7 linked regions of the Xenopus tropicalis genome follow. The protein of the gene in region 1 interacts with the protein of each later gene in a pairwise test. Links are inferred from orthologs where the notes say so. Each region holds a gene or a part of one and is shown in the gene's direction. Other genes may lie near its edges. The genes, in order: sat1, casp7, kcna4, tcf25, hoxb9, ccdc148 and taco1.

What was found.
Region 2: the proteins of sat1 (region 1) and casp7 interact in binary tests that used the Homo sapiens proteins (3 or more experiments, as listed by UniProt). The two-hybrid records come from large-scale screens. The link is inferred for Xenopus tropicalis from reciprocal best matches to the Homo sapiens genes SAT1 and CASP7.
Region 3: the proteins of sat1 (region 1) and kcna4 interact in binary tests that used the Homo sapiens proteins (3 or more experiments, as listed by UniProt). The link is inferred for Xenopus tropicalis from reciprocal best matches to the Homo sapiens genes SAT1 and KCNA4.
Region 4: the proteins of sat1 (region 1) and tcf25 interact in binary tests that used the Homo sapiens proteins (3 or more experiments, as listed by UniProt). The two-hybrid records come from large-scale screens. The link is inferred for Xenopus tropicalis from reciprocal best matches to the Homo sapiens genes SAT1 and TCF25.
Region 5: the proteins of sat1 (region 1) and hoxb9 interact in binary tests that used the Homo sapiens proteins (3 or more experiments, as listed by UniProt). The two-hybrid records come from large-scale screens. The link is inferred for Xenopus tropicalis from reciprocal best matches to the Homo sapiens genes SAT1 and HOXB9.
Region 6: the proteins of sat1 (region 1) and ccdc148 interact in binary tests that used the Homo sapiens proteins (3 or more experiments, as listed by UniProt). The two-hybrid records come from large-scale screens. The link is inferred for Xenopus tropicalis from reciprocal best matches to the Homo sapiens genes SAT1 and CCDC148.
Region 7: the proteins of sat1 (region 1) and taco1 interact in binary tests that used the Homo sapiens proteins (3 or more experiments, as listed by UniProt). The two-hybrid records come from large-scale screens. The link is inferred for Xenopus tropicalis from reciprocal best matches to the Homo sapiens genes SAT1 and TACO1.

The regions. Positions count from the first base shown.
Region 1 is NC_030678.2:43,098,049-43,102,381, forward strand, and holds the start of sat1 (diamine acetyltransferase 1), read left to right. Parts: upstream 1-1,315; 5' UTR 1,316-1,478; coding exon 1,479-1,544; intron 1,545-2,145; coding exon 2,146-2,197; intron 2,198-2,416; coding exon 2,417-2,500; intron 2,501-3,576; coding exon 3,577-3,678; intron 3,679-4,333. UniProt on the Homo sapiens protein: Enzyme which catalyzes the acetylation of polyamines. Substrate specificity: norspermidine = spermidine >> spermine > N(1)-acetylspermine. This highly regulated enzyme allows a fine attenuation of the intracellular concentration of polyamines.
Region 2 is NC_030683.2:3,709,026-3,712,898, forward strand, and holds part of casp7 (caspase-7), read left to right. Parts: intron 1-3,673; coding exon 3,674-3,825; intron 3,826-3,873. UniProt on the Homo sapiens protein: Thiol protease involved in different programmed cell death processes, such as apoptosis, pyroptosis or granzyme-mediated programmed cell death, by proteolytically cleaving target proteins.
Region 3 is NC_030680.2:19,913,840-19,917,712, forward strand, and holds part of kcna4 (potassium voltage-gated channel subfamily A member 4), read left to right. Parts: 5' UTR 1-792; coding exon 793-2,859; 3' UTR 2,860-3,873. UniProt on the Homo sapiens protein: Voltage-gated potassium channel that mediates transmembrane potassium transport in excitable membranes. Forms tetrameric potassium-selective channels through which potassium ions pass in accordance with their electrochemical gradient.
Region 4 is NC_030680.2:59,798,086-59,802,390, reverse strand, and holds the start of tcf25 (transcription factor 25), read left to right. Parts: upstream 1-1,343; 5' UTR 1,344-1,403; coding exon 1,404-1,598; intron 1,599-3,224; coding exon 3,225-3,359; intron 3,360-3,486; coding exon 3,487-3,561; intron 3,562-4,305. UniProt on the Homo sapiens protein: Component of the ribosome quality control complex (RQC), a ribosome-associated complex that mediates ubiquitination and extraction of incompletely synthesized nascent chains for proteasomal degradation.
Region 5 is NC_030686.2:12,098,290-12,102,681, reverse strand, and holds the start of hoxb9 (homeobox protein Hox-B9), read left to right. Parts: upstream 1-1,502; 5' UTR 1,503-1,612; coding exon 1,613-2,120; intron 2,121-4,392. UniProt on the Homo sapiens protein: Sequence-specific transcription factor which is part of a developmental regulatory system that provides cells with specific positional identities on the anterior-posterior axis.
Region 6 is NC_030685.2:73,759,595-73,763,467, forward strand, and holds part of ccdc148 (coiled-coil domain-containing protein 148), read left to right. Parts: intron 1-1,335; coding exon 1,336-1,474; intron 1,475-1,642; coding exon 1,643-1,849; intron 1,850-3,873.
Region 7 is NC_030686.2:17,082,014-17,086,589, forward strand, and holds the start of taco1 (translational activator of cytochrome c oxidase 1), read left to right. Parts: upstream 1-1,533; 5' UTR 1,534-1,619; exon of another isoform or gene 1,620-1,688; intron 1,689-2,891; 5' UTR 2,892-2,911; coding exon 2,912-3,167; intron 3,168-3,385; coding exon 3,386-3,492; intron 3,493-3,747; coding exon 3,748-3,881; intron 3,882-4,182; coding exon 4,183-4,360; intron 4,361-4,576. Other genes in the region: map3k3 (mitogen-activated protein kinase kinase kinase 3), read right to left, coding at 1,308-1,311. UniProt on the Homo sapiens protein: Acts as a translational activator of mitochondrially-encoded cytochrome c oxidase 1.

The DNA.
Region 1 (4,333 bases):
TATTGGGGGCAAAACAATCCTATTGGGTTTAATTAATGTTTTATTGATTTTAAGTAGACTTAAGGTATGGAGATCCAAATTAAGAAAAGACCCGTTATCCAGAATACCCTTGGTCAAGAGCAGGGCCGCCATCAGGGGGGTACAGGGGGTACAGCCGTCCCGGGCCCGGACGATTTTAACTTTAAAAGGGGGCCCGGCGCTGCTACAGTTTTCTTAGCTGGGGCCCCCTTTAATCTATTCCGGGCCCCTGTCATTGGTGGTCAGTACGCACGGGGAGCAACCTTATAAAAGGGCCTGGCGTCGTTCGGCACTCAGAAGTGCAGTGCTGTTGGGAACGAAGGACCTCGCCGGAGGAGCCGTCGCCGGAGCCGTCGCCGGAGGATTGTGCTGTGCTGGCTACCAATGTACTAGGGGGGTTTGCTGGCTACCAATGTACTAGGGGGGTTTGCTGGCTACCAATGTACTAGCGGGGTTTGCTGGCTACCAATGTATTAGGGGGGGGCCCTGCTGGCTACCAATGTACTAGGGGGGTTTGCTGGCTACCAATGTACTGGGGGGCACTGCTGGCTACCAATGTATTAGGGGGGCCCTGCTGGCTACCAATGTATTAGGGGGGTCCCTGCTGGCTACCAATGTATTAGGGGGGCCCTGCTGGCTACCAATGTACTAGGGGGGCCCTGCTGGCTACCAATGTACTAGGGGGACCCTGCTGGCTACCAATGTACTAGGGGGGGGCCTGCTGGCTACCAATGTACTAGGGGGGGCCCTGCTGGCTACCAATGTACTAGGGGGGCCCTGCTGGCTACCAATGTACTATGGGGGGCACTGCTGGCTACCAATATACTAGGGGGGCCCTGCTGGCTACCAATGTACTGGGGGGCCCTGCTGGCTACCAATGTACTAGGGGGGGGGGGCCTGCTGGCTACCAATGTCTCATATCTGTGAGTCCTTTGTATTTGTGGGAGGGGGGCCCAGAAATTTTTTTTGTGAGGGGCCCCGTGATTTCTGATGGCGGCCCTGGTCAAGAGTATTCTGGACAACGGGTCCTATACCTGTACTAATCTTTCCAAAAAGTACACCGAACATTGTGTTGTTGTAGTTTAACATAATGGCCACTAAGTGGCAGCTCCACTCTAAAAACCCTGCTAAACTTCTAGTGAGTCATTTCTGGGAATCATCACCTCATACGTAATGGGCCGTGGCCATTCAGCCCCGCTTATACAAGTGTAATTGTTTGGCGGAAGTGCGGAGAGGGCGGAGCTCCCTCCCATAATAAATACCCTGCTCTCGGTTCCGCGCTTGCACTTCGTCGTCGAAGTTTTCTTATCACGGTGGCTGCAGTGAGTGAGCTCTGCCGGGTCAGGGTCCCAGACTGACTAAGGAGAGGAAACTCCTGGGAAGCGAATGAAGAAACACCTCCTACTACTCTTCACATACAGAGGACTTGTCAGAAAAGGCAAAAAGAGCAAGAGAAGAAAATGGCCAAATTTATCATACGATCTGCTAATGCCGGGGACTGTAAAGATATCTTGCGACTCATAAAGGTGCATTGCTGTAACGTAGCTGCGATTTTACTTTGAGGTTTCGCTATTTTTCTCACCTGTAATGGAAGGTACTAAGTTCGACCAGGTGGTGTAACCCATAGTAACCAATCAGTTTGCTTTTAAACAGGTGAATCGTAAATGCATTGTGCTGATTGGCTGCTGTAGGTGACAAGATCTGTAGCAAACTGCCCTTTCACTCATTTTGAGTCAAGAGCTTTTGACCCTGGGTGTAGGGAACTACAAGAATTCCCTGAAAGCCTTTAGCATTCACTGTTGTACTTACATTTGTACAGTTCTCCTTTAAAGTTTCAAACTAGGACCTTTATATGTAACGGTCACTTGTGTGGCTTTCTGGCACTGCTGGGTTAGTTTGTCCCAACTTAACCTGTAACTTGGCTTGGGGGTTGTGGTTACCCACAAGGGAGGTAGGAGATGAGGGAATGGGATTTCAGTATGATGTTGGGAATATTCTGTTCTGCTTTTTAGTACCCCTTTGAGTGCTAATCTGCTACTGTAGGCAGTTGTAGAACTGTATTGCTGTACTGCTCCTGTTACACAATGTCCCCTTTTTACTCAATGATGTAATCTTCCTGTCTTATAGGAACTGGCAAAATATGAAGATATGGAGAACCAAGTAGTACTAACTGAGAAAGGTAAGTGGAATCGTAGAGGGTGTGTATCTCTGCCAAACTTGTCTCGGAAGCACAATTTCTTTTATCTAAACAATTGATATTTAGTTTGTGTTGCTCTGTGTCCTGGGCTGCCTGCCAAGCTGCTCCCATGAGCATTTGCTGCTAAGCACACATACATTGGGGAGTGCATTTTTTTGTCTCCTACTCACTCCTACACCATTTGATTTTTCTTCTGTACAGATCTGCTTGAAGATGGATTTGGAGAACATCCATTTTACCACTGTCTTGTTGCTGAAGTGCCTAAGGAGACCCAGAGTGCTGATGGTAATTTTTACTTTCCCTCTTGCCCCATTTCCCAGAATCTGAGGCATTTGTTTTGACCCTAATGTGCGCAGATGCAAACTTTGTTAAATCCTATTTTCTCTTTAATTTGTCCCAATCTTCAGGTTACAGTCTCTAGCTTCGCCATGTACATGGATGGCCCTTCCGTGTACATGGGTGGGCGGGGAGGTAACTAAAAGATCCGTTACACAATAAAGTAGATGATCATGAAACGAGGTAAGGCAAACGGGCAATCGCTGACACGTTAAAGCAGCAAACACGGTAGATCAGAAATCCATGCTCTGCTACTGAGTCTTCACGGAAGATTCTCCATTGTTCAATGGATTTTATTTTACCCCACTTTTTTTTTTTTTTTTTTTTCCCCCCACACCCCTCCCTGGAAACCTAAATCAAGCAATACGGACTTAAATTCTCCAACAGTGTCTTTCCAGTTAAGTTCTTGGCTGATTATGACCATTTCTAATACTAAACCTGATGTTTTTGGTAACTCCTGCCCTCCTTGTGCGATTGAACTGTTGTGATTTCTAGTACAGATTTATTTTTGTATTTTAGTATTGAGGAATCGGTGATCAGCATGATGGGTTGCCTGTATTGATTCCTTGTTTTCCATGTGCTACAAATTGGGGAAAACCATAGTGCTTGATCTGTTGCATCTCTGGTTCCCATTTGTACATCTGGGGGGGGGGGCTTTCATAATCTTCTGAACTGCCGTGTAAAAGGAATGTATTATGTTAATACAAGTGCTCCGCTATGCTGGTTAAAAGTAGAACATGCTATTTGCTCAAATGCAATGACAATGCTTTAGCAGCACTCAGACTGGAAAAATAACTTGCTTTCAAGGTTGTGATGTGAAGCAGTCAAGTACAACAACCTGTGGACGGCTAACAGTTGTACTCTAACTCTCCTCACCATTCTGGGAGTTCTAGTCAAACAACTGTGAAATATTCCTGACTTGTGGTTGTAATTACTTTTGTTTTTGTGTTTTTGTTTTTTTTCTCCTTGTACACGATTTTTTTTTTTTAATTTCAGGACTCATTTGATCTCTTCTTTGTTTATAGGATACACCATTGTTGGGTTTGCAATGTACTACTTCACCTATGACCCGTGGATTGGAAAATTGCTTTATCTTGAAGACTTCTTTGTGATGGATGAGTTCAGAGGTAGGTCATATGTATTAGGCCTCAGTGTGTGGATGGATTTTTAAAAATACATGTATGCACAAGGCCCTGGACGAACAGGTATGAGCTAAAAGTTCACATTTTTTTTTTTTTATACGTTAAATTCAAATGTTGTAAGTAGAGTATAAAATACATAAATGTAACATAATATCACTACAAATGTTGTAATGTTTGATATGAAAATAAAAACAAAGCTTAAAAAAAAAAATACATGTGAGTAGTGTTTCCATAATTTTAAATTGAAGGTCTAGCATATTGTGTGCGTACAAAGGCTCTTGTATATCGGCAGTTAACAAGTGGCTGTGCTGTGCCACCATCTTACCTGTGGTTCCCAGAGATCCCTCAATAGACATGGACTTGCACAGTATACTAACATTTTCCTAATTGTGCTTGGGGGTGCCTGGGAACTACATGTAAGATGTTGGCACTGCTTAAGAAACTTAGATTTAATTGATTTGTGGGAGATGTGCCTAATACTGAAACCCCTGGCGAATTCAGCTGTTCTGTAAAGTACAATGATGGAATCTATTATTTGGAATGCATAGGGCCTTGTGTGTGGTTGGTTGTGGTTTTTTTTTTTTTAACTAGAATTTCACATTAAAGTTTGTGCCCATTTGGAAACAAACCTTTTAGAAAG
Region 2 (3,873 bases), on another chromosome or scaffold:
CATTTATACAGGTACAGGATAGGAATAACTGGGACTTCTTTTCCTCTATATAAATATAATTCATTTATACAGGTACAGGATAGGAATAACCGGAACTTCTTTTCTTCTATAGAAATATAATTCATTTATACAGGTACAGGATAGGAATAACCGGGACTTCTTTTCTTCTATATCAATATAATTCATTTATACAGGTACAGGATAGGAATAACCGGGACTTCTTTTCTTCTATATAAATATAATTCATTTATACAGGTACAGGATAGGAATAACCGGGACTTCTTTTCTTCTATATAAATATAATTCATTTATACAGGTACAGGATAGGAATAACCGGGACTTCTTTTCTTCTATATAAATATAATTCATTTATACAGGTACAGGATAGGAATAACCGGACTTCTTTTCTTTCTATATAAATATAATTCATTTATACAGGTACAGGATAGGAATAACCGAGGACTTCTTTTCTTCTATATAAATATAATTCATTTATACAGGTACAGGATAGGAATAACCGGGACTTCTTTTCTTCTATATAAATATAATTCATTTATACAGGTACAGGATAGGAATAACCGGGACTTCTTTTCTTCTATATAAATATAATTCATTTATACAGGTACAGGATAGGAATAACCGGGACTTCTTTTCTTCTATAGAATATAATTCATTTATACAGGTACAGGATAGGAATAACTGGGACTTCTTTTCTTCTATATAAATATAATTCATTTATACAGGTACAGGATAGGAATAACCGGAACTTCTTTTCTTCTATAGAAATATAATTCATTTATACAGGTACAGGATAGGAATAACTGGGACTTCTTTTCTTCTATATCAATATAATTCATTTATACAGGTACAGGATAGGAATAACTGGAACTTCTTTTCTTCTATATCAATATAATTCATTTATACAGGTACAGGATAGGAATAACCGGGACTTCTTTTCTTCTATATCAATATAATTCATTTATACAGGTACAGGATAGGAATAACTGCGAACTTCTTTTCTCTATATCAATATAATTCATTTATACAGGTTACAGGATAGGAATAACGGAACTTCTTTTCTTCTATATCAATATAATTCATTTATACAGGTACAGGATAGGAATAACTGGGACTTCTTTTCTCTATATCAATATAATTCATTTATACAGGTACAGGATAGGATAACCGGGACTTCTTTTCTTCTATATCAATATAATTCATTTATACAGGTACAGGATAGGAATAACCGGGACTTCTTTTCTTCTATATAAATATAATCCATTTATACAGGTACAGGATAGGAATAACCGGAACTTCTTTTCTTCTATATAAATATAATTCATTTATACAGGTACAGGATAGGAATAACCGGGACTTCTTTTCCTTATATATATTCATTTATACAGGTACAGGATAGGAATAACTGGGACTTCTTTTCTTTATATAAATATAATTCATTTATACAGGTACAGGATAGGAATAACCGGGACTTCTTTTCCTATATATAATATAATTCATTTATACAGGTACAGGATAGGAATAACCGGGACTTCTTTTCTTATATAAATATAATTCATTTATACAGGTACAGGATAGGAATAACTGGACTTCTTTTTTCTATATAAATATAATTCATTTATACAGGTACAGGATAGGAATAACCGGAACTTCTTTTCTTCTATAGAAATATAATTCATTTATACAGGTACAGGATAGGAATAACCGGGACTTCTTTCTTCTATATAAATATAATTCATTTATACAGGTACAGGATAGGAATAACCGGGACTTCTTTTCCTCTATATAAATATAATTCATTTATACAGGTACAGGATAGGAATAACCGGGACTTCTTTTCCTCTATAGAATAACCGGGACTTCTTTTCTTCTATAGAAATATAATTCATTTATACAGGTACAGGATAGGAATAACCGGGACTTCTTTTCCTATATATAAATATAATTCATTTATACAGGTACAGGATAGGAATAACTGGGACTTCTTTTCCTCTATATAAATATAATTCATTTATACAGGTACAGGATAGGAATTTACTGGGTCCGGTTTAGGACAATGTACAAATTTGTGCAAATCTCAGGAAATTTCCCTCTTTGTGTGTTTTTGTCTCTATTTTTAGCCCTGGAGCTAATAATAGTTGTAACCAGTTGTTTTGCCCCTTCCACCCCAATGTGTGGCTATTTATAGAACTGCCCTTTGCTTGGGCGGAGGAACGTGAAACATTTGTTTTCCCCCAGGGGAGATTTAATCTGTCCATCACTTATTCAGAATTTGCAGAAAATACAAAGAAACCGACCCAAATATTCTCTGAGCCGAGGTCACTAGGGTTGATGTTTATTTAAAGAAACAGCGCATGTGTATACAGTATATATATAGATATATCTACAGAGAGAGGGGCAGTACAACCTCACAATAAACTCGTATCTGAATGGTTCCAATTAAGATAATTTAAAGAAATTAACCCTTTTGTAAACATTACGCAGCCAAGAATATGGGTGGTGACTCCTCCCCTGCTTTATATTTAAAGGACAAGTAACACCTCTTTAAACAAGTACAATTACCCCACACTGGCACAAGAGGGGTTCTTGCTTCAGAAGCGTCACTATGATTTATTTATAGTAAAGAAGCTGCTGTGTGACCACGGGGGCAGTTATGAAAGCTGAAATAGGGCAATAGGGCAAAAGATTAGGCAGCAGAGGTAGGTGAGGGCAGAGTCCCCGGAACTATAGGATTAAAACTTCTCATTTAACATAGAGCGTCTGTTGTTTATAGGAAATATCATTCTAAGTAACAATCTGTTCCTGGACTGCTAAAATTGGCTGGCTTCTGCTACATTGTTTCAGGAGTCAGAACCAGAATGGCGGGGAATGTACTGCTGGGTGGAGGACCCATGTAAACATGAAGATAATAATAATTTGAGGGCATTACTGGTCCTTGACATACCAATAGGAAACAAACATGAATGTTAGTGATAGGCCAGAAGCCTCTGCTATTATTACCCAGGGGCCTTTGGGAGAGTTATTGTATTGCCATGGGTCTGGCCTGGACACAAGAGGGGACATGGTAGCCAGGGTCGGACTAGGCCGGCGTTCCCCTTCCCGACCGCTCCTCCCTTGACGCGTCAAATTTACGCGCTCGGGGGAGGACGAGAGTGGGGGGCCCTGCGAGGGGGGTCAGTGGGGCCCCTTCGAGGGGGGGTTAGGGGACGCGCTTGGCTGGGGCACCTGCAGGGCCCCTGGGACGGGAGCCCCGGTGGGCCCTTCACCCCCCAGTCCGACCCTGATGGTACCAAACCCTAAAGGTCTCTGTATTATATTTGGTGCTGGGTAAAAACCCAGACCCGATACCTGCTGGGAGCTTCCCCAGGCCAGTCTCACTCCCTCGACATGCTGGGGGGGGGGTTAGGTGGGTCGTGGGGGTCCCTATGGGGGGGTGTGGAGACCACAGCTGGGGCCCCTGTACCCCCCAGTCCCACCCTAGGAGGTTATGTAATAGAAGACACCAATCAGCAGGAAGTATTTACTGGTCACCTGTTAAAAGCGAATGATCTTATTGGTTGCTATGGGTTACTGCTCCTGGGCAAACTTAGTGCCTTTTATTACATATGGAAAAAAACAAAGGGGTTCATGTTATTTCCCTCTTCTCCCCTCACAGCACGAAGAAGAAGAAGACAGAGGACCCAGAGAAGCCCCCCCAAGCGAGTGACAATGTGCGGATTGTTACCCCGGCTTTCCAGTACAAGATGAATTATGGGAAAGTTGGCCGATGCATCATAATCAACAACAAGAACTTCGACGACATCACAGGTACTTCATTGTGCCCTCGTGGCATGGAAGCGAGCCCGCTCCGCCGGC
Region 3 (3,873 bases), on another chromosome or scaffold:
TATTCACTGGCTCCTATTTCCTACAGCACAATATTGCTTTAAGGTAGCTCAACCACGATTTGCAAACTGGCAAAAAATCCCCATGTACTGTTTGCCTGTTTCCCCTGCTCACAGCTCCTGTTCATATCACCGACTCCTCACCTGCAAACTTGTTGTTGCTTCTAGAACAATTACCTGGAGAGCTATCTGGCTGAACTCAGACATAACCTGCCTATCTACTCACTGGCTCCTATTTCCTACAGCACAATATTGCTTTAAGGCAGCTCAAACACATATTTTTAACCTTTATTTCTATGGTTTTTGGGCAGCAACCCCCCCTGCAAACTTGTTGTTGCTTCTAGAACAATTACCTGGAGAGCTATCTGGCTGAACTCTGACATAACCTGCCTATCTACTCACTGGCTCCTATTTCCTACAGCACAATATTGCTTTAAAGCAGCTCAACCACACATTTTTAACCTTTATTTCTATGGTTTATGGGCAGCGGCCCCCCCTACAAACTGGCACATTTACTCTCTGCCCGCACCCCCCTTCTCTGGCCAGTTGGTTCCGCCCGCACAGAGCTCCCTGCGCTGACTCCTTACTCGCAGAGGGGGGGGGAATTACCCCTGAGACCATGAGGGTGTTTGCATTCTTATTTTTTTATGACCTTGCATGAGTAATAATGAACTAAAAATCACTGAATTTATTTTGAATAAGTTTATTGCCTTGGGGGAGCCACCATGGCAGGGTGGTACAGAGCACTCAGCAGTCTCCCCGCCGCACAGTAAGCCGTGAGCAGCAACAGCAGAGATGGAGGTTGCCATGGTGAGTGCGGATAGCTCCGGCTGTAGCAGCCACTTGCCTTACGGCTATGCCCAAGCGCGGGCCCGCGAACGGGAACGCCTGGCGCACTCCCGAGCCGCAGCCGCCGCCGCCGCAGCTGGAGAAGGAGGGAACTCAGGGGGCGGCGCTTGTCAAGGGGCTGGGCGCGCCCCCGCCACTCAGGGGAACAGCGGGGCTGGCGGGAACGCGCGGCGCGCACCCCAGAGCCAAGAGCAGCAGGAGGAGAAGTCAGCGCAGAGAAAGAGAAGTGCCAGGCGGAGGTACTGGCCACTAAGCGGCTGCAACAGGTGGAGGAGCCGGCACAGCGAATGCAGCGGAGGCGCTGGAGGAGGAAGAGCAGGAGGAGAAGAGGAAGGCACCTTCCCCTCGGAGCTGGGGCCATGTGGCTCTGAGGAGATGATGCTCAAAGAAGAGGTGTCAGAGGAGGAGGACCAAAAGTTTTACTTATGTGAGGATGATGAGGATGAGGCTGGCAGCCTGCACAGGAGGAGAAGCCCCAAGGAGGATGGCTATCACCCTGTGTACAGTGAGTTTGAGTGCTGCGAGAGGGTGGTGATCAATGTGTCCGGGCTGCGCTTCGAGACCCAGTTAAAAACTTTGACCCAGTTCCCCGAGACGCTGCTCGGCGACCCGGAGAAAAGGATGCGCTACTTCGACCCGCTGAGGAACGAGTACTTTTTCGACCGAAACCGTCCCAGTTTCGACGCCATCCTGTACTACTACCAATCCGGGGGACGGCTGAAGCGGCCGGTCAACGTGCCCTTCGACATCTTTTCAGAGGAGGTCAAGTTTTACGAATTGGGCGAGGAGGCGTTGCTAAAATACCGCGAGGATGAAGGTTTCGTTAAAGAGGAAGAAAAGCAGCTGCCGGAAAATGAGTTCAAGAAACAAGTGTGGCTGCTGTTTGAGTACCCGGAGAGCTCGGGTCCAGCCCGGGGCATCGCCATCGTTTCCGTGCTGGTCATTCTTATCTCCATTGTTATCTTTTGTTTGGAGACGTTACCCGAGTTCAGGGACGATAAGGATAGTTTGCTGTCTCCGCTGGGGATGGGGGATGATGGTACAGGGGAGGATGGAGAGGGCGGGGCATACAATGCAACTTTTTTATTGACAGACCACACTGCGTTTAATGACCCATTTTTTATAGTGGAGACTGTGTGCATAGTCTGGTTCTCCTTCGAGTTTGCTGTGCGCCTTTTTGCCTGCCCAAGCAAGCCTGGATTTTTTAAAGACATAATGAACATAATAGACATTGTGTCCATTCTGCCTTACTTTATCACCCTGGGTACCGAGCTTGGGCAGCAGCATCCCCCTCAACAGCAGCACCTTGCTCTAGGCACAGGGCAACAACTTCCCCAGGGGACTGGGCAGCAACAACAGGCCATGTCCTTTGCCATTCTGAGGATCATTCGCCTGGTTAGGGTCTTCCGCATCTTCAAACTGTCCAGGCATTCCAAGGGGCTGCAGATACTTGGTCACACCTTGAGAGCCAGCATGAGGGAACTGGGATTACTCATCTTCTTTCTTTTCATTGGGGTCATTCTGTTCTCAAGTGCTGTTTACTTTGCAGAGGCCGATGAACCCACAACCCACTTTCACAGTATCCCTGATGCCTTCTGGTGGGCTGTTGTTACAATGACCACAGTGGGTTATGGGGATATGAAACCCATTACTGTGGGGGGTAAGATAGTAGGCTCCCTGTGTGCCATAGCAGGGGTATTGACTATTGCACTACCAGTGCCAGTGATAGTTTCAAACTTTAACTATTTCTACCACAGGGAAACTGACAATGAAGAACAAACACAGTTGACACAAAGCAGCTCCAGTTGCCCATACTTACCCACCAACCTGCTGAAAAAGTTGAGGAGCTCCACTTCTTCCTCTCTACAGGACAAGTCTGAATACTTAGAAATGGAGGAAGGGCTCAAAGAGTCTCTCTGTATAAAAGACAAGGCTAGTGAGGGGACAGGGAATGGCAACGAGACCATTAAGTATAACTGTGTGAATTTAAAAATTCTGGAAACTGATGTGTGAAATAGTGAAATATATTTTTGGAACTTTCTCAGAGTCTATTTATGCATTGAAGAGTGCAGTGATAAAACAAATGAAATATGCAAATCTAATCAGAAATGTGACAGCCAGTTTTCTGATTAGGTGTGAAATATAGTGGCTTCCTGTTGTAAGAACCTACAAACTTGGGACCAGATCAGATGCTACAAGAATAGCAGTGCCTGTTCTCTGGCTTCGTTTTTTTTTTTTTTCTAAAGAGAGTTGTCCATCCATAGATAATAATATTGCAGTGTGACAGTCTGCAGTAGAGAGGGGTACATGATGCTTATTTAATATAAAGCAGAAACCATGAAAAGAGAACAGCATGCATTTTGCCGTACACGACTGCTGTGTCTTCAGAAATACCTGGCACCCAGTAAAATGACATTGTTTACTCGTTTGCTTATTTTTTACAAAAATGTCTATTCTTCAAAGAATTCCACATCAAAAGAATTTTAGAAAACAGCGGTTTGCTGTAGATTCCTATCTTGATACCGCAACGCGATTTGTGCTTTTCCTAATAGCTAAGGAGCTAAATTCTTATGTGTGGAATACTCTGTAATCGGATATACATCATGTCTAACATATCAAGCATAGAAAGGGTAGACTAAAGAATTTTAAAATGATAGATTTTTATAGAAAGCAATGTTTCTGCACTGATATATCTAAACTCATTAGAGTGCTCCGATAACTAGTCTTTTTTAAGAAATAAGTTCTCAGTTTATTTTCTTTTTCTAAATTCCTCAGTATGAGATTAGCACAAATATAGGAGATATCGAGCGAGAAAAACAATCCTAAAAATGTTATTCTCGTTCCACTTAAGCTACACTTAATTATGCTGACTTTACTGTGCAGTTTTAAAAATGAACCAGCTGCCCCGTACCTCCATTGGATAAGAGTTTATCTAAATGTTTATCCCAAATTGCAATCAGTAAGGGCTGCCAACTATGCACAGTATCGCTGCTCGCAGAGCATTTATTAGGTGAGGCTCAAAGACAG
Region 4 (4,305 bases), on another chromosome or scaffold:
GTTCAATAGATAGAAGAAGAAGAGAGTGGAAATAATGAAACAAATAATCTTGTAAAATGTATCCAAAACAATCCTAAATTAACTTCTCACAGTGGTGGGGAGGTGATTATAGAATTTTGGTTTTAATGATGTAGCTATAGGATTTTAGTACATGCCAATCATTCCAAATAGTTTGTTAATAATCTGTCAGGTGACTCCTGGCAGTTGCATATGTTTAAGGTTGCCTTGGGAGGTTTGAACACGAAAATGCCTGTTCCGCTTCGTGGTTTGCCTTGGAGTATTTCAGCACTGTACCAAGTGGTGTATTGAAAACCAAGTATTGTTAAGTATTTGATTGGTTGAGGGGAGGTAATGTTAGTGAGCCATGTGTCAAAGATTTTTGGGGTATGTTTTTATTTACTGTACAAGGTTTCTATCCAGTCTAGATGGAAAATGTAGTTTTTGTCATACTAAAGTGCCAGTATCCATCATTTAACAATAAAATTAGGTTTGGGAGGGATTGAATTATTCTAAAGAGCATATAGAAATGGTCCATATGAAAGTTATGATAATATGCACTGTAAGAATAATAATAATAATGCACCTGATGCAATTGAATGAGCTCCTGCTCCTGTTAATTTCAGATGACATTTTGAACATACTTGTCCCCATATTATCAATTGAACATGTTTCTTAAATTTCATGTAAGACTACATACCTCTATGTATCTGAATGAGTGCACACATTTAGAATTAGTACTGGCTGAAACCATTACAAAAACACTTGCATATTTTGGGGCCGATTCATAAAAACACGAGTTCGAATGGGAAAAATTTGGATTGGACACGATAATTTCTGATAGATTGCAAATATTACAAAAATTTTTACGAAAAAATCGTATTAGTCACGATAATATCGTATTGACGATCCGAAAGTCACTAAATTTTCATACCGAACGATTGTAAACAGCGACAGAACCTTTCCAAATTCACGCAAGCATATGAAAAAAGTCGTGCAAGCGTGAAAAAATCGTCAAAAATACGCTCGAACGCTCCGAGCATTTATGTCTTAATAAATCTCCCCCCATGTGTCATACATCCCAGGGATACCCCTTGTCTAGCATGTATAATCTTCTGTCAGAACGTTTCATCTCCCCGCAGCCCCTTAATGCAGATAGCCTGAGCCTGGCCTCACAGGGCATGCTGGGAGACAAAGATCAGCAGTTACTAAAGGAGCCAAACAGCATGAGCTAGCTGCTGAATAACGCCGTCTTTTATTTGGATTTACTGAATGAGATGTTACAGTAGCGCCCCCAGGCTGTCATGTATAGGCATTACACGCTACGAGCCGCTAATGACCCTGAGCGCATGCGCCTGGCTGCAAATCCTTCCTGGGCTTCTGCCCTGTGAGTTTGTTTAGGTGCCATGTCCCGTCGGGCCTTGAGGAGGCTGAGAGGAGAGCAGAGAGGACAGGAGGAGCCCGGGGCCCTTGGAGGAGACGAAAATGAAAAAGACGATGAGGAAGAAGAAGCACCAAAGCTCCCGGAACCGCGAAGCCGTAAAGCACGTGGAAACCGGAAACTCTTGGAGGAGCGGGGCCTAAATAACCCCTTCCAGCTGGTGAGTGGGGGAAGGCAAATCCAGGGACACCGGGACCTATATGTGAGATTAGTACAGAGCCAGAACCGGCCATAAGGGAACATGAATTAGACCAAGCAGTGATAGGTGCAGTACTGTTGGTTAGGAACAACTAGTAATCAGCTGGCTACATCCTCTCAGTAGTGAGAACCACCAGTGACACCTACCCTACAGGTGCAGTAACTGCAGCCCTCTGGTGTATTGCTTGTCAACCGCAGCTCTGACTTATAGCTTCTGGCTCGGTTTCCCTGGCCTGTTTGGGCCAAGTGAGTTTTATATAAGCCCAGCTGGGGGGGGGGGAGTTCTGCATACACTCTCTGGTACAATTACATTATAATTCAGTGGAGAGATAGGCTAATGTTCTCCCTACAGTAAAGTGCTCTATGAACCATAGATCTTAGATAAGTGTTTATTATCTTGGCATAACATTAGGAAACAAAGGGAAAGTTTACCTGCAAATGAAATTTATGTATGGTATAGAGTGGTATATAGCATTTCAGCCCAGTATTTCTGTCCTTATTAGCATTAATGTTCAGATGGTTCGGTTTTAGTTTTTAGGCCATCTCTTATTTGTCTACCATTCTGACTTCCAAACTGTTGTCTGGTTACTAGTGTAAATAAGTCCTAGAAACTAGATAACAGCTGAAATGCCAAGGCTCAGAGCTGCTGAACAGAAATAAATATTTTAAAAGCCATACCAACTGAAGACTAATTGCAAATTGCCCTAGAATAATACTATATAATACTTATATTTAATATGAAGTGAAGAATGCATCCTGCACCTGCTCAGTCCTGTGTATAATGGCCTGTTTGCAAACACTAGCTGATGGCTGCTTAGCCTGAGCTGGGATATTCATGAAAATTGTCAACATTCAAGAGCAGCACTGAGGAAGAATCTAGGGACCATTCAACAGAGGAATATCCAACCTATGTACATTTAGGCAAGAAATACCCTGCCTCTGATTCAAAGGGACCATATCCCCACCCCACAGAGGCTGTTAGGACCCCCCCTTACCATGTTTTAAGTGAAAGTGATGCTTTCTGCGAATCTAAATTCCTTTATCTTTTCTCAAGAGGACTTCACACCACCCACTCTGCGTACTAAAAGTTACCATCCTGCCTTTTCCTTTCCGTGCAATCAGCTGTGTTTGGATAAAAATACTTCTGAAAGTAAGGCTAATGTCCCATGGGGAGATTAGTAGCCCACGGTAGCAGAGATTTATAAAGGGCGATAAAATCTTTACACTGGCAACAAAGAAAATCGCTGGTGGAAAGACCTACACATTGCTTAGTTCTTCAGAAGTTACCTGCAGCTGGAAACTTCGCGCCACGATGTGTAGGCCTTTCCACTGGAGATTCTCTTGGTTGCCAGTGGAAAGGCATTTTGGGAAGATTAGTCACCCATGGTAGCAGAGATTTATCACTCTGTGTGGCATTAGCCTAAGGGACAGTTGGGTCTGATAAGAATGAGGACCTTCAGGGTCTGTTGGAGACTCAGGCCATTGGTACCAACTGATCTGTCAGCTTGTGTTATTTGGAGCATTATAAAGTTTAGCAATCTAGTCCTTGAACCACTTGTCATATCTGCTTTTTGGTTTATGTCTGTAGATAATTGACCATGATTGTGATGCTCGGAGTGATTCAAACATCAAGCATGTCACAAATCCTAGGCTTAATGAGGAGAAAGAGACAAATACTTGTAAGACGGACCAAGATGCCACTGAAGATCCTGCTTTGAACCAGGTGAGGAAATAATAGTAGAGGAGTTACTTAGAATATGGGAGTATTTATCAGCCAACCGGCTGCTTTTATTAGGAATTTGTTTTTTTTTTCTGTAGCATATTTACCTGCCATTTCTGTACCTGAATAGGCTGCTCCAAGCAACAAACCAAAGAAGAAGAAAAAAAAGAAGAAATCAAAGAAATGCACTATTTCAGAGAACCAGGTAACATATCATCAGCTCATGCCCATGATGTTATGTTTTCCATAACAGAAGAGCACATTTGGCAAAGCAGTGATAAGAGGGATAGCATACTTGCTTTTAATTAGAGACCATCCACTTTGTTGTTTGTGTCCTAATGGAAGAGCAAACAAAAAAGGGAAATGTAAATGAGGCGGAATTTGACTAGTAAAGCTGGCCATACACGCGTGTATGGCAAGTCGGCGAGGCAACCGATATCGCAGGAGGCTGCTGATATCGGTCGACTCGCCAATCGGGTGGTTTAAAAGATTTTGATCGGGCGCCATAGAAGACGTCTGAGCAAAATCTGCCTTCTGCTGAATCGGCAGAAGGAGGTAGAAATCCTATTGTTTCTGCCTCCATATCTGCCGTTTCAGCCCTGAACGTCAGTGGCCGATTGGAACGATGTCGCACGAAAGATCGAAAATTGCCACGTGTGTGGCCACCTAAAGTTCTTAGACTACCCAACTTTCTGCGCTGTATAGTAAATGTACAGACAGATACTGACAAATGCAGGAGAAAAAGAGGGCTCTGCCAGTTAGAGCAATGCAGATAATTAAAAAAGCATAATGGTTTGGTGAATACTTGGAGATACATTAGGGTGGGGACATTTCAAGCATAGTAGATTAAGTTTTAGTAGCATTTAGTAGCAGAGATTTAGTAGCAGAGACTGGTGTTAGGACCTGCAAGGGGCAGAAATGGTTGGTGAGATCAATGAGTTTGGTAGCC
Region 5 (4,392 bases), on another chromosome or scaffold:
ATATATACAGGGCATAAATAATATTAAATGCAATGGAGCAGCGCCAAGGGATAGCAGCGCAAAGCAGGTGCAAAGTGTTATATACAGGCAATGGCTCATGTAAGAAATAATACAATGTACGAATAATACAATATAAGCTTGTAATTATGGACAAAATGTTTGCCCCATGTTATGGTTGGTAAGCTGTTATATAAATGGAAAGTAACCATGGGGTCACAGAGTCACTTATCTTGGATAAAGCTGCACCATATAAAATGCCTGTGAGTTATAAATATTTGGTCACAATATGGGACAGTGTGTAGGCACCATCTTATATTTGTATCTTTGGCAGAGAGAAATGATATAGTGGGGTCACAGTGTCAGTAGCGCAGTACAGAATGGCAACACCTGGCAGTATATAAGCTGTAGGCATTTGGCATAATATGTGACTGTAAAAATATATTTATTGGATGAGAGGCAGGGCATAAGTAGTTATACAGAAAGCAAATGGGATCATAGTGTCAGTAGTGCAGTGTAGGATATAAATATGGCAAATTACTACTTATATATCTGATTATATTATGGGCCAGTCTGTAGGCCTCAGCCACCACTTTAAATCAGTGCTGCACAGGGTACAGGCAATTGTATAAAGTTAAAATAAACAAGCAGACATAGTGCTAGTAGTGCAGAACATACATATACATGCTGCAGGGCTGGGCACTGTACAATGGTCTGTAACTGGTGACAATTTGTGGTTACCATTTCATACTAGTGCAGAGAAATAAACCAGGGTCATAGGGACACTAGCACTTTGGCACAATGTGAGTAAATAGTGTTACTGGGTAGGGGAAGGGCAGTTAAATAAAATTAGTGTAAGGTATCAATCAGCAGTGCCTCCTAGGAAATGATTGGCACCATATACATTTTGCAATATCTGCCATTATATGGGGACATTGCCTGGGAAATACGGTGTATTCATATGAATAGAAACACAATTCCAGATACAGGGGGCATAAAATATCCACATCCAATATCCACCTAATTGGTGTCTGTTATTTTGCATATAGTCAGTGTAGGGAAAGGGGCCACTAACTATAAATATACTGTTTATAATCCGTACTGTACAAGCCAGACTGTACGCAGCCGCCATGCTATGGCAGCGAGAGGCACCGTTCTGCTAAATTGCGCACTGATTTGCGCACACGGCCAATTGCGCACAGCTGAATGAGAGACTGCTGCGCCCTCCCAAGCTGTTGCACCCAGACCCCCCTGTGCCAGATTGTCTTGTGGCTTCACTAAAAGGCACCAGAGCCTGCACAGAAATAGGTGTCACCCAAGTTTCAAATTGTTGGCTGAGGAGTGCGTTGTTGGTCGGATCTCAGGCGTGTCCCAGCCCTCATGCCCATAAAACAATGGCTCCCAGATATGAATGCTGACAGCTCCGTGCGGCCCCTCCGATTGATGAATAGCCCTCTGACGCTTTATCAGGCACACGGAGAAAGTTTGACCAATCATTTGCCAGGAGCTCACACGCCAGCAGCCCAAGTGCACCGAGTTGGCGAGCAAGTTGGGAGAGGGGAGAGCTCCTATATCTTGTTCCCTTCAATGAAGCTGCTGAGTAGGATGCCCGAGAATGGCCATTTCTGGGACTCTCAGTAATTATTTTGTGGAGTCAATAATAAGCCCTGAGAGTGAGGAGGCTCCAGCAGCCAAATTCTCTGGACAGTACCCCAGCCCCCGGCCAGCAGCCCATTCAGCTCACTCTGAGCCCTTGGACTTTCCCTCCTGTAGTTTCCAGCCCAAAGCTCCTGTATTCAGCGCGTCCTGGAGCCCTCTGAACCCCCACCCAGCCAGCCCCCTGCCTTCTGTCTACCACCCCTACATCCAGCAGGGCGCCCCCACTCCGGAGGGCAGGTACTTACGGGGCTGGCTGGAGCCGCTGCAAAGAGCAGAGAATGGACCTGGCCAAGGAACTGTGAAGTCTGAGCCGCTGCTGGGGCCCCCGGGGGAGCTGGACAAACTGGGAGCCCAACAGTACAATCTGGGCTCGCCTGCTGCAAGAGAAGATGCCAATGAAAGGGCCACTTTCCCGGACAATAAACTGTGTGAAGGAAGCGGGGACAAAGACAGGACACATCAAAGTAAGTTCTGCACCGAGGAAGTGGGAGACAAAAGCCTAAGGGGGCAATAAAAGGGCAATATACCGTCAGGAAGTGTATGTGCTCCTGGCCAGCAGGGCAAACACAGGGGAGAGCCCCCCAGGCACCGGCAATAGCCTGAAATCTTTCCACCTTGTAGTCACCCAGCCGCACAGGTAGTTAAACAAGCCACAGTATCCATCACAGTAGCCAGGAACATTTATATTTGTAATCAAATCCCTCCTCAATATTTATATCTCAAACAAAGTTCAGCCACAATATTTCCACCCTCAGCCACAATAACTTGGATCCAAATCAGCCATAATATTTGGAATTAGCCCCAAGATATACCCCCCAAGGCAACCCCTGTATTTACACCATATCCCCCCAATTAAACAGGCCACACGGTAAACTAACACTTTCCTTATATCGAATAAAACTCCCCCCAATTATATATATACATTTCAGCCAGAGCAGTGCGACTTTATTGCAATATTACTAGACTCAAATCAGCCCCAGTGTTTATACATTACCGACAAATCAGCCACAGGATTTATATTTTAAACCATAAGGCCCCATGTTATTGGCAGAGGTGAAATACTTATATTTATATCTACACGAAATATTCAGCTAGGAAAATCCTTGGCTAAATATTACAAATCCCCGACGATAATAACACGGATAACTTAGCAGCACAAGGAACCACAATCTGTAAAATATACAGGAGGGGGGAATATCCAGGCACAGTTAATATTTGTAGCAGAAACGTTCCCAGAATCTAAATTTTCTTACCAAATTACCCATAAGATCGGGGATTTACAACAAGCCTGCCCCAGCCATTATATTTCACAGCCTTACGAAAATATTATATTAATATCGCCGGCGATTTATATATTTAACCACTGGAAGAAGACGGGAAAAAAAGAGCTTCCAATATTTAATATACCGTATTAAAGGTACATAATTCATAATATATATGCCCTACAGCAAAGTATCTGGCAGGCAGCATAAAATAGTTTGTAAATGCAAAATGATCACCTCTTGTATTAGTGCAATTCCGCCGTGCGATCTGTTTGGACGATTGTACAGCCATTTATCTGGTCGGCACAGGTGAAAATGATTCATAAAGGCAACCGATCCCATTTGCAAAATCACCACTCTTACGAGGTGGATGTGTTTATGGCACCTAGTACCTTTTTATATTTCCCACTTAATATTAAGCAATTGCAGATGTAATGATCGGTTTAAAAGCATTTTACCTTGATAAATGAGGGTATTATGCATGGGAGTTAAACTGCACTTTAAAAACCATATTCCACTAAACTGGGCACGGATCCAGAACAAACTCCACAATAAAAGCCTTGGATGGAGAGAGTGGGATTTGCAGCTTGTGGATTTAATATCCGTGCAGGCTGACAAAACGCTGTGAAGAATTGCGCGTAAACGTTTACGCAACGGTCCAACCAAAGGAATTGGGGAGATCGCAGGCGATTTTAGCAAAGATTGTTGTGCTGAGGGTCAAAGGGAAAGGCCAGTGTACCCCCCAATGTGATATACTGCCTATTATTTCAGGGTGATTGATCAGAATCCAGCTTTAAAAAGTGCCTGTTTTATTTCCAGATAATAGTAATATGGAGCGGAATATCACTTCAGTAGTGAGAATTTTTTTTTATTATTATTATTTTATTATTATTATTAATACTAATAGGGATAAATAAATGATATTTTCTGGAATCCACCCCTCACACACTCATACACACAGGCAGCAATGCTGATCAGTAGTCGTGTTCGCTTTATTAAATATTAACTTTTTAATTCACTTTCATATTTCATTCCCATGCAAATGATTTAGAGACTGAGCAGAAAAAGAGACACCAGAGTTAACACAGGGGGGACTGAACCCTTACAATCCGCCAGGCAGGGCCAGACAGTCAGCCAGGAATATCATGTATATTTTATTACATTAATTTGTATGCGATCAGGGGCTGGAATCGTGTGTGTGGCTTGTAATTCCTACTCTACCATTTCCATCGGGGTTCAGGAACGGAGGCGATATTAAGGCTAATAATTATTGTCCTACTTGAAAAACTCTGCCTTTGTTAAGCTGCAATGGGACTGCTGTATGCACAGGACATAAAGCTTATTCCTATTAGCGGAGCTGAGCCATGCCATAAGCACATCCAGGGGCTTTTATGCTTTGCAAATTCTTCATTTCGTATGGAAATACCAGCCACAATATATTTCTGTTACTAATTAGTGTGTGTGTGTGTCCTTG
Region 6 (3,873 bases), on another chromosome or scaffold:
CGCATTTCTCTTTAAAGAAACAGTGTTTTTCGTATTTAACTTTAGTAGCAGTTTTTATTACATTAGACCACACGGGGCTAATTCTTGACCAAAGGATAAATGCAGGCCGAGAATCAGCCCCTACACTCTCACCAGCCTTTTCTTGTGCCTGCACCCTGAGCCATTGCATCTGCCTGGGTACAGACACAGAGTAGATTTCAGTGTTTACTTGAGCATTTTCTAACCTCTATTTCAACTCAATAGCTGCCTTCCCGGACTAGTACCAGTAGAACATGGGTTACACTGTACTCTCTTACCCAGAATGGGCCTTCGCTAACTGTAAAAGGAAAGTGAGGGTGTTGAGCAACTACACCTCTCCTGCTATGCAGAAAAATGAAAACAGAGGGCGCCAGAGGTTCTTGCAAATAAAATAATAAGTGTTTATTGAACATCCACAGGGTTACTCACAATACAGCTCTCAGAGGCCAGTGGTACAGGCAACACATACAGAGTGTAATACAGACTAACACTCCTCTGCGGACAGACCTGGCAGGAATCTCACTTCACCTCTGCCACACACCCCGTAGTGGATCCCTCAGGGAATTCTCTATCCTGATTCCCTATTCACTGGGATCCCTACACTACAGGCAATGTAGCCTGGGAGAGATACCTCCAAAACTGCAAGTCTTATGTAGGAGCTCTGTGCCGACTTCACTGGGCCTGGGCCCATGCCCCGGGCTCAGAGCACACATCCACCCTGTTCCACAGGGGGAAGCAAACAGGAAGGTGCCACTCCTTTCCCAGCACTATACCAAAGTGAGGCAGGAAGTGGTCACCATCCCTGCTAGCCAATAGCACACATATGTTAATGAACTTAGATACATTCCCTTCCGCCCAGCAACTAAGGGAACTGAACATGTAGGGATTTAAAGCCATAGGGGCCATTTATGCCTATGGGTCCCTACAGTTTCTTCACCAAAATCCACCCCATATGCCTTGGCCGCCGCAATGGCTCCAGGTGCAGACACAGGAAAAAGGCTGGGCCATCGTAGGTGCTGATTCTACAAATATTCACTGAGGATCAGCCCTGTGTGGCATTAGCCTTAAATGTCTTTCTGTATATGTCCATCACCTTGTGTCCAGTCACCTTGCATTGTTCAACCATTCAATAATGTCCATGTCAATGTTATTAAAGCTAACTGTTGATTCCTATGGGTAACTGCACCTCTGACCTTTGTTATTGGGGCCTTAATGTTCTAGTTTAATTCAACTTTTTGTATTGTGTATATTGACTTATTTGGCATTTAACGAATGTAATTGCCAACATGTTTTTATCCACAATCTATAACATTTCAGCAACTGTAGTTGGAGTGATGAGGAGCATTGGATTTTGTACTTCATTATTAACCAGCATCCACAGGACCTTCCCAACAGAAGAGCTATATATATAGATATGCTGTCAAAGCATTTACCTCACAAAGCAAGACAGGAATTGGTGAGTATATTTTATATCCTAAGTAATATACAGTAAAATCCAGGCTTAAATGCACGATAATTTGTGTTTCAGCTCTGCTGTTGTTGATAGTCATTGATGATAGTGCATGCATGTCCCTTGCTCTATGGATACTTTCGACGTAGTTATGCTTCCTTGCACTTTCCCTAGGTCAACCATGAAAATCTCTATTATGCTCATCGTTTCGCTAAAGATCAAAGGGCGGCTTTGCTGGAAAGCTGGGCTCGATACAGGAAAGATTTTGTACTGAAAGCCATCATGACTATGGCTGAAGCCTGCTCTGCATATGAAACTGAAATCATTCTGGCAAATGATAGGAAAAAGCAACAGGAGATATGTACTGAACTCAATGAAAAGGTGGGTGATCTCCCCACGCATTCCCCCTCCCCAGTATTCTACCCGTCCCATAATCACGTGTCATTTAAATGTCCCATTCGTGAAACGCATATGAATTTATTTCTATCCGATTTCCATTCACACCAGTTGAAAGAGGCTTTAGTGAAGTCATACTATAGGTTTGGGATCGATTATCCGAAACCCGTTATCCACAAAGCTCTAAATTAGGGGTAGGCCATCTTCCATAGTGCAATTTTTTTTAAATTATTTTTCTCTGTGTTAATAAGAAAACAGTATCTTGAGTTTGATCCCATCTAATATATACTTAATCCTTATTGGAGGCGGAACAGTCTTACTGGGTTTAATTAATGTTTAATTGATTTTTAAGTAGACTTAAAGCATGGAGATCCAAATTATGTAAAAACCTGAAAAACTCCAGGTCCTGAGCATTCTGAATAGCAGGCCCCATACCTGCATTTTGAAGACATGTTTTGAACAATGATGATATGCTACAGACAAAAACCTACAGATGGAGCAAATGCTGTACACATGGCTCAACGTGACACAACATGGTATAGCATTCATTTTAATAGAAAGGGGCTGTTTGTGGTCTGTTTATAATATAGACTGACATAGTGGGATGTAGTGAGCTACCTGAGCCAAGAGTTATATAAAGTTAGCTCCATCTGTTTGTATGAGCCATAATTGGATCGCTTGAAGAATAAGGGACTCCCCCTAACATTTGTCATTTCAATTTTGCCATCGTTCTCTTCACACCCTCAGTATATAATCTTCTTCCATCTATTCTAAATAGCCAACCTCATTAATTGCCTCTATTTCTCAGTACTACAGTGTTACAGTAATACAGAAGGTACAAATGCTTGATTCAGGAAAGACACATCCTATATGTTTTTTCTTAACAATAAATAAAAACCCAGCCGTTTCCTAAAAATATCTTATTTTCAAAGAGAGAACAGAATGACTTTGCTGTGCGGCCTAATAACATGGTCTGGTTTTACACAGATTAGGGTATGTGTCTGGGCATGGCCAGTTGGATCAGGGGCTTAAATGTCCCATTTTTTTTATTTTTTATTTGAAAATGTTAGTAAATGCTTTAAAAGGAACATTATCCATAGACAGCAAAGCAATAGCTCAAGTAATGGCCTTTATTTATCAGTACAGTCACTTTCATTCTTTATAATGCATGTCTAAGCTAAGAGCAGGTACCTTTTTGAGGAATGGAACATCAGCCTGGGGTAACAGGTAAGCAAATAGAGTAACCTTACGACAGTGGTGGCCAGACCTTTCTCATTGGCGATCAATGGATGACCAGGTAATGTGGAAGTGTGGTGTGAATGCATATGTACGTGACGCAGCGTATGTACGCATTCACACAGCACTTCCACATCCCCGGCTTCATCGTGGTCCACCAGAAATCCACGCTGGATTGACTGGTGGACCGCAATCGATGTATTGGCCACCCCTGCCTTACGACTTGCAATTTGCAAATCATCTTCATTTTTTATTTTTTGTGGTTTTTCAGATTAAGCTATTTGTTCAGCAGCTCTCCAGTTTGGTATTTCAGAAACTATTCGGTTACTAGGGTCTTATTTACATCAGCAACCAGGAATTTGTTTGAACACGCCACTGGAATATGAATAGGTGAGGGATTGAATAGGAAGATAAACAATTAAAAATAGTAATAAATAATAGTAGCCTCACAGAGTGATTGTTCCTTTGGCTGCCGGGGTCAGTGACCCCTATTTGAAAGCTGGAAAGAGGCAGAAGAGGAAGGCAAATTATCCATAAAATATAGAAAAAATGAAGACCAATTGCAAAGTTGCTAGGAATAAGACGTTCTATAACATACTAAGTGTTAAATTAAAGGTGAACCACCCTTGGTTACACCTCCTTGCCACTCCCCTTAATATGGAGCCAACCATTCTCAGCTTCACGTTTGGGTTTGTTAACTCAGAAACAATCCAAATTTACAATTGTTTTTCTCATAAACCTTCTCTCATAAACCTTGCTTTTAATCAGGCATT
Region 7 (4,576 bases), on another chromosome or scaffold:
GAGAGAGACACAGCGAAGGAGTGCATGCGAGTTAGAGAGACAGTTAGTGACAGCAGGAGGCACAGAACATTGTATTAAAGTGACAAAAGAGAGACACAGTGAGTGAGTGCATGTGAGTTAGAAAGACAGTGAGTAAATGACAATGCATGTGAGACAGGGACAGAGACAGCAGGAGACTGTGACAGAAGAGAGCATATAAGTGATGAGAGAGACAGGGAGTGACAGTGTGTGCTAAATAAGTTACAGTGAGTGGCAATAAGAGACAGTGACAGAAGAGTGTATGCAAGTTACAGAGAAACACAGAAAGCCAGTGAGTGACAGCAAGAGACAGAAAAGTGACAAGAGAGAGACACAGGGAGTGAGTGAGAGAGAGGCAGTGAATGACAGCAGGACACAGAATATGACGGACAGTGTATGTAAGTGACAAGAGAGAGACACAGTGAGTGAGAGATAGAAACTGAGTGACAGAGTGACAGTGACAGAGAGACAGAGAGACAGTGACAGAGTGACAGTGACAGAGAGACAGTGATAGAGTGACAGTGACAGAGAGACAGTGACAGAGAGACAGTGACAGAGTGACAGTGACAGAGAGACAGAGTGCCAGAGAGACAGTGATAGAGTGACAGTGACAGAGTGACAGTGACAGAGAGACAGTGACAGAGAGACAGTGACAGAGAGACAGTGACAGAGAGACAGAGTGCCAGAGAGACAGAGTGCCAGAGAGACAGTGATAGAGAGACAGTGATAGAGAGACAGTGATAGAGAGACAGTGATAGAGAGACAGTGATAGAGAGACAGTGATAGAGTGCCAGAGAGACAGTGATAGAGAGACAGAGAGACAGTGATAGAGAGACAGAGAGACAGTGATAGAGAGACAGAGAGACAGTGATAGAGTGCCAGAGAGACAGTGATAGAGTGCCAGAGAGACAGTGATAGAGTGACAGTGACAGAGTGACAGTGACAGAGAGACAGAGTGCCAGAGAGACAGAGTGCCAGAGAGACAGAGTGCCAGAGAGACAGTGATAGAGAGACAGTGATAGAGAGACAGTGATAGAGAGACAGTGATAGAGAGACAGTGATAGAGTGCCAGAGAGACAGTGATAGAGAGACAGAGATAGAGAGACAGAGAGACAGTGATAGAGTGCCAGAGAGACAGTGATAATGAGACAGAGAGACAGTGATAGAGTGCCAGAGAGTGCAAGTGACCCCCCAGAGGAATGTCAGTGGCCGAGCAGACAAGCGGGGGAGAGTGCCCGTACAAGAGCTTGCGTTACGGCCATAGCCAGTGACTAGGCCCCAGTACTTACCCATGGCGGAGCAGGGGGCACTATTCCGGGCAGCCCTGTCAGTTTCCCGGGCCCTGAGGCCTCCCCCGATTCTTAGGTAAAGTTGTATGTAGCGCCTCCTCTGCTACTGAACCCACCGCCTCCTCTGGGTTATTCTCTCCCCGGGTCTGCCCCGCGGCCCGTCAGCGACTCCGGTCACCTCATATCCGGCTTGGCCAGGGCTCCGGGGGCTCAGGCCTTACTCTGGGCCAGTTCCTAGCCCGCTGCAGGACCTACACACGTCACCGGTGACATCACTGCACCATGTGACCGCCTAGCTAGCGGAGAGGAAGAGTAGGTCATTGTGCAGGAAGTGAGAGAGTCTGTAGAGCAGCAGGTATTAGCGGCCCAGAGAGACTCAATGTAATGGTTGCGAGTACCTGTCTGTGGTGCTGGGCTTACCAGTGGGAGACATGAGAGTCATGGGCTAGAGTTGTGTGGCCTCTGGGCTGCCTAGGCTCTAGCCATTACTAGTTGACAACTCTTGCAGCAGGGGACAACAGCAGGGGGCTGATTGTAGGGGTATTGGGGCATAGTTATTCTTCTGAAGGGAGCTTGTATTCTTGGTACTGAGTTACTGAGTGGGGGTAAGCCTGCTGCAGGGGTCTGTTTATAGGGGAAGAGTAATCTTGCTGCAGGGGGCTGATTGTAGGGCTATTGGGGCATAGTTATTCTTCTGAAGGGAGCTTGTATTCTTGGTACTGAGTTACTGAGTGGGGGTAAGCCTGCTGCAGGGGTCTGTTTATAGGGGAAGAATAATCTTGCTGCAGGGGGCTGATTGTAGGGCTATTGGGGCATAGTTATTCTTCTGAAGGGAGCTTGTATTCTTGGTACTGAGTGGGGGTAAGCCTGCTGCAGGGGTCTGTTTATAGGGGAAGAGTAATCTTGCTGCAGGGGGCTGATTGTAGGGGTATTGGGGCATAGTTATTCTTCTGCAGGGAGCTTGTATTCTTGGTACTGGGTTACTGAGTGGGGGTAAGCCTGCTGCAGGGGTCTGTTTATAGGGGAAGAGTAATCTTGCTGCAGGGGGCTGATTGTAGAGGTATTGGGGCATAGTTATTCTTCTGCAGGGAGCTTGTATTCTTGGCACTGAGTTACTGAGTGGGGGTAAGCCTGCTGCAGGGGTCTGTTTATAGGGGGAGAGTAATCTTGCTGCAGAAGGCTGATTGTAGGGGTATTGGGGCATAGTTATTCTTCTGAAGGGAGCTTGTATTCTTGGTACTGAGTTACTGAGTGGGGGTAAGCCTGCTGCAGGGGTCTGTTTATAGGGGAAGAGTAATCTTGCTGCAGGGGGCTGATTGTAGGGGTATTGGGGCATAGTTATTCTTCTGCAGGGAGCTTGTATTCTTGGCACTGAGTTACTGAGTGGGGGTAAACCTGCTGCAGGGGTCTGTTTAAAAAGGAAGAGTAATACTTCTGCAGGGGACTTTTATAAGGTGTTGGGGTGTTTCATATACAAGCTATACAATAACACGTACAATCAAATATATAATGTTATAGATGAAGCACCGTCAGTACTCCAGTACAAGCTTATTTATGTATATATGTATTCTCTCTGTCCCACAGAATTGTCTCCTGCTAGGATTATGTCTTTGGTCTTAAGTAGGATCTGCTCTGCCCATAGAAAACATGCTTTCAGGTCATTGCTCTTTTGCCAAGAACCTTTGGGTCGATGGTTCCTTCCTGTTGTTGCCTCTCAGGAGACCTACTTCCACACCTCCTTAATGATGTCTGCTGGTCACAACAAGTGGTCTAAAGTAAAACATATTAAGGGTCCCAAGGATGAAGCAAGGGCCCGGGTGTTTGCCAAACTCTCCATGATGATCAAAGTAGCAGTGAGAGGTGAGATAAGTAACATGTGCAATAGGGCATCCCAGTCCAGTAACCTCTATCAACAAATAACATGTTGCTAGAGTGGTCTGGTACAGGTAGAAGGCTGGAAACATATCTGGTTGGTGGAATGGGCAGTTTTTTTTCCTTGTGTTTACTGCATGCATCCAATGGCTTTATGGTTACTGCTGGGCCTAGAAATAGATAACTGTCTTGGTCTTCAATAACAGAAGGAGGACCTAACCCAGACCTGAACATGGCCCTATCCCAACTGATTGAGCAGTGTCGGGAGCGGAACATGCCAAAGACTTCCATAGAGGCAGCTATCAAAGGAGCGGTAGGTCAGCTATAGGAACATTATGCTTTGTGGGTTATTCTGGAAATTTCCATTCTCATCAAAAGGCCAGCAAGTAGAACAAGCTGATAAACCCAGTTTGGAGCATAGAGATGATACCGCTAAATAGCAAAACCGTAAAACCATTTATAAATTTATACAAAAAAAAAAAATATATATATATATATCTATCTTGAGAGAGGTCCTAAATAAGGACCAAAACGTTGTCGATAACATTTATTTTTGTTTTCACTGTAGGATAAAGCAAAACCCTCTGCCTGTGTATTGTACGAGGGACGGGGACCTGGGGGAGCTTCTCTGCTCATAGAGCTTTTAACTGACAACAACAACCGCTCCTATGCAGAGGTCAAGCTCCTGATGGGCAAAAATGGGTATGTGTCATTACTTGTGCTGCTCAGTGTGTTTTGCTTTACATCATGCACACTGGGGTCTTGTGTTTCATTCCAGCCAAGTCACTATGTGCAAAGAGTTTGTATGTTAACCCCTTGTTTGCATGGGTTTCTTCAACAAAATCATACAGAAAGGTTAATTAGCTTCCTAGAGAATTTAACATACCATGCCTGAATGTGATAGGGTCCTTAGAGTGTAAGGTCCACTGGAGCAGACACTGATATAAATCATGTATAATCTGTGCATAATTTCTGAATGTACCTTTTGTTTTCTAATCCACAGTGGGGTGATGTGTGATGGAGCCCGGCATAGTTTTGAAAAGAAAGGGGTGGTGACTGTACGGACTCATGACAAAGATGGAGGTGATGTCCCATTAGAGAAGGCCCTCGAGCTAGCAATTGAGGCTGGAGCAGAAGATGTGCAGGAAGAACAGGATGAGGAGGATAAGGATATATATAAGGTATGACTACTGGAAGTATGTTAGCTTGGGGTGGCACTCTCATACAGTTAAGTCATGTATATCTTGTGTAAAGTAGGACTCTTCAGCATGGCTACTTATGTAACAACCTAGTAATGTATGTAGTGCCAACTGGAATGGCAAGGAGAATATCTCTCCAGTAAACCATGGTAACCAATCAGCAATATTCTTTAATCAGTGATAATCCAGTGGGTCAAT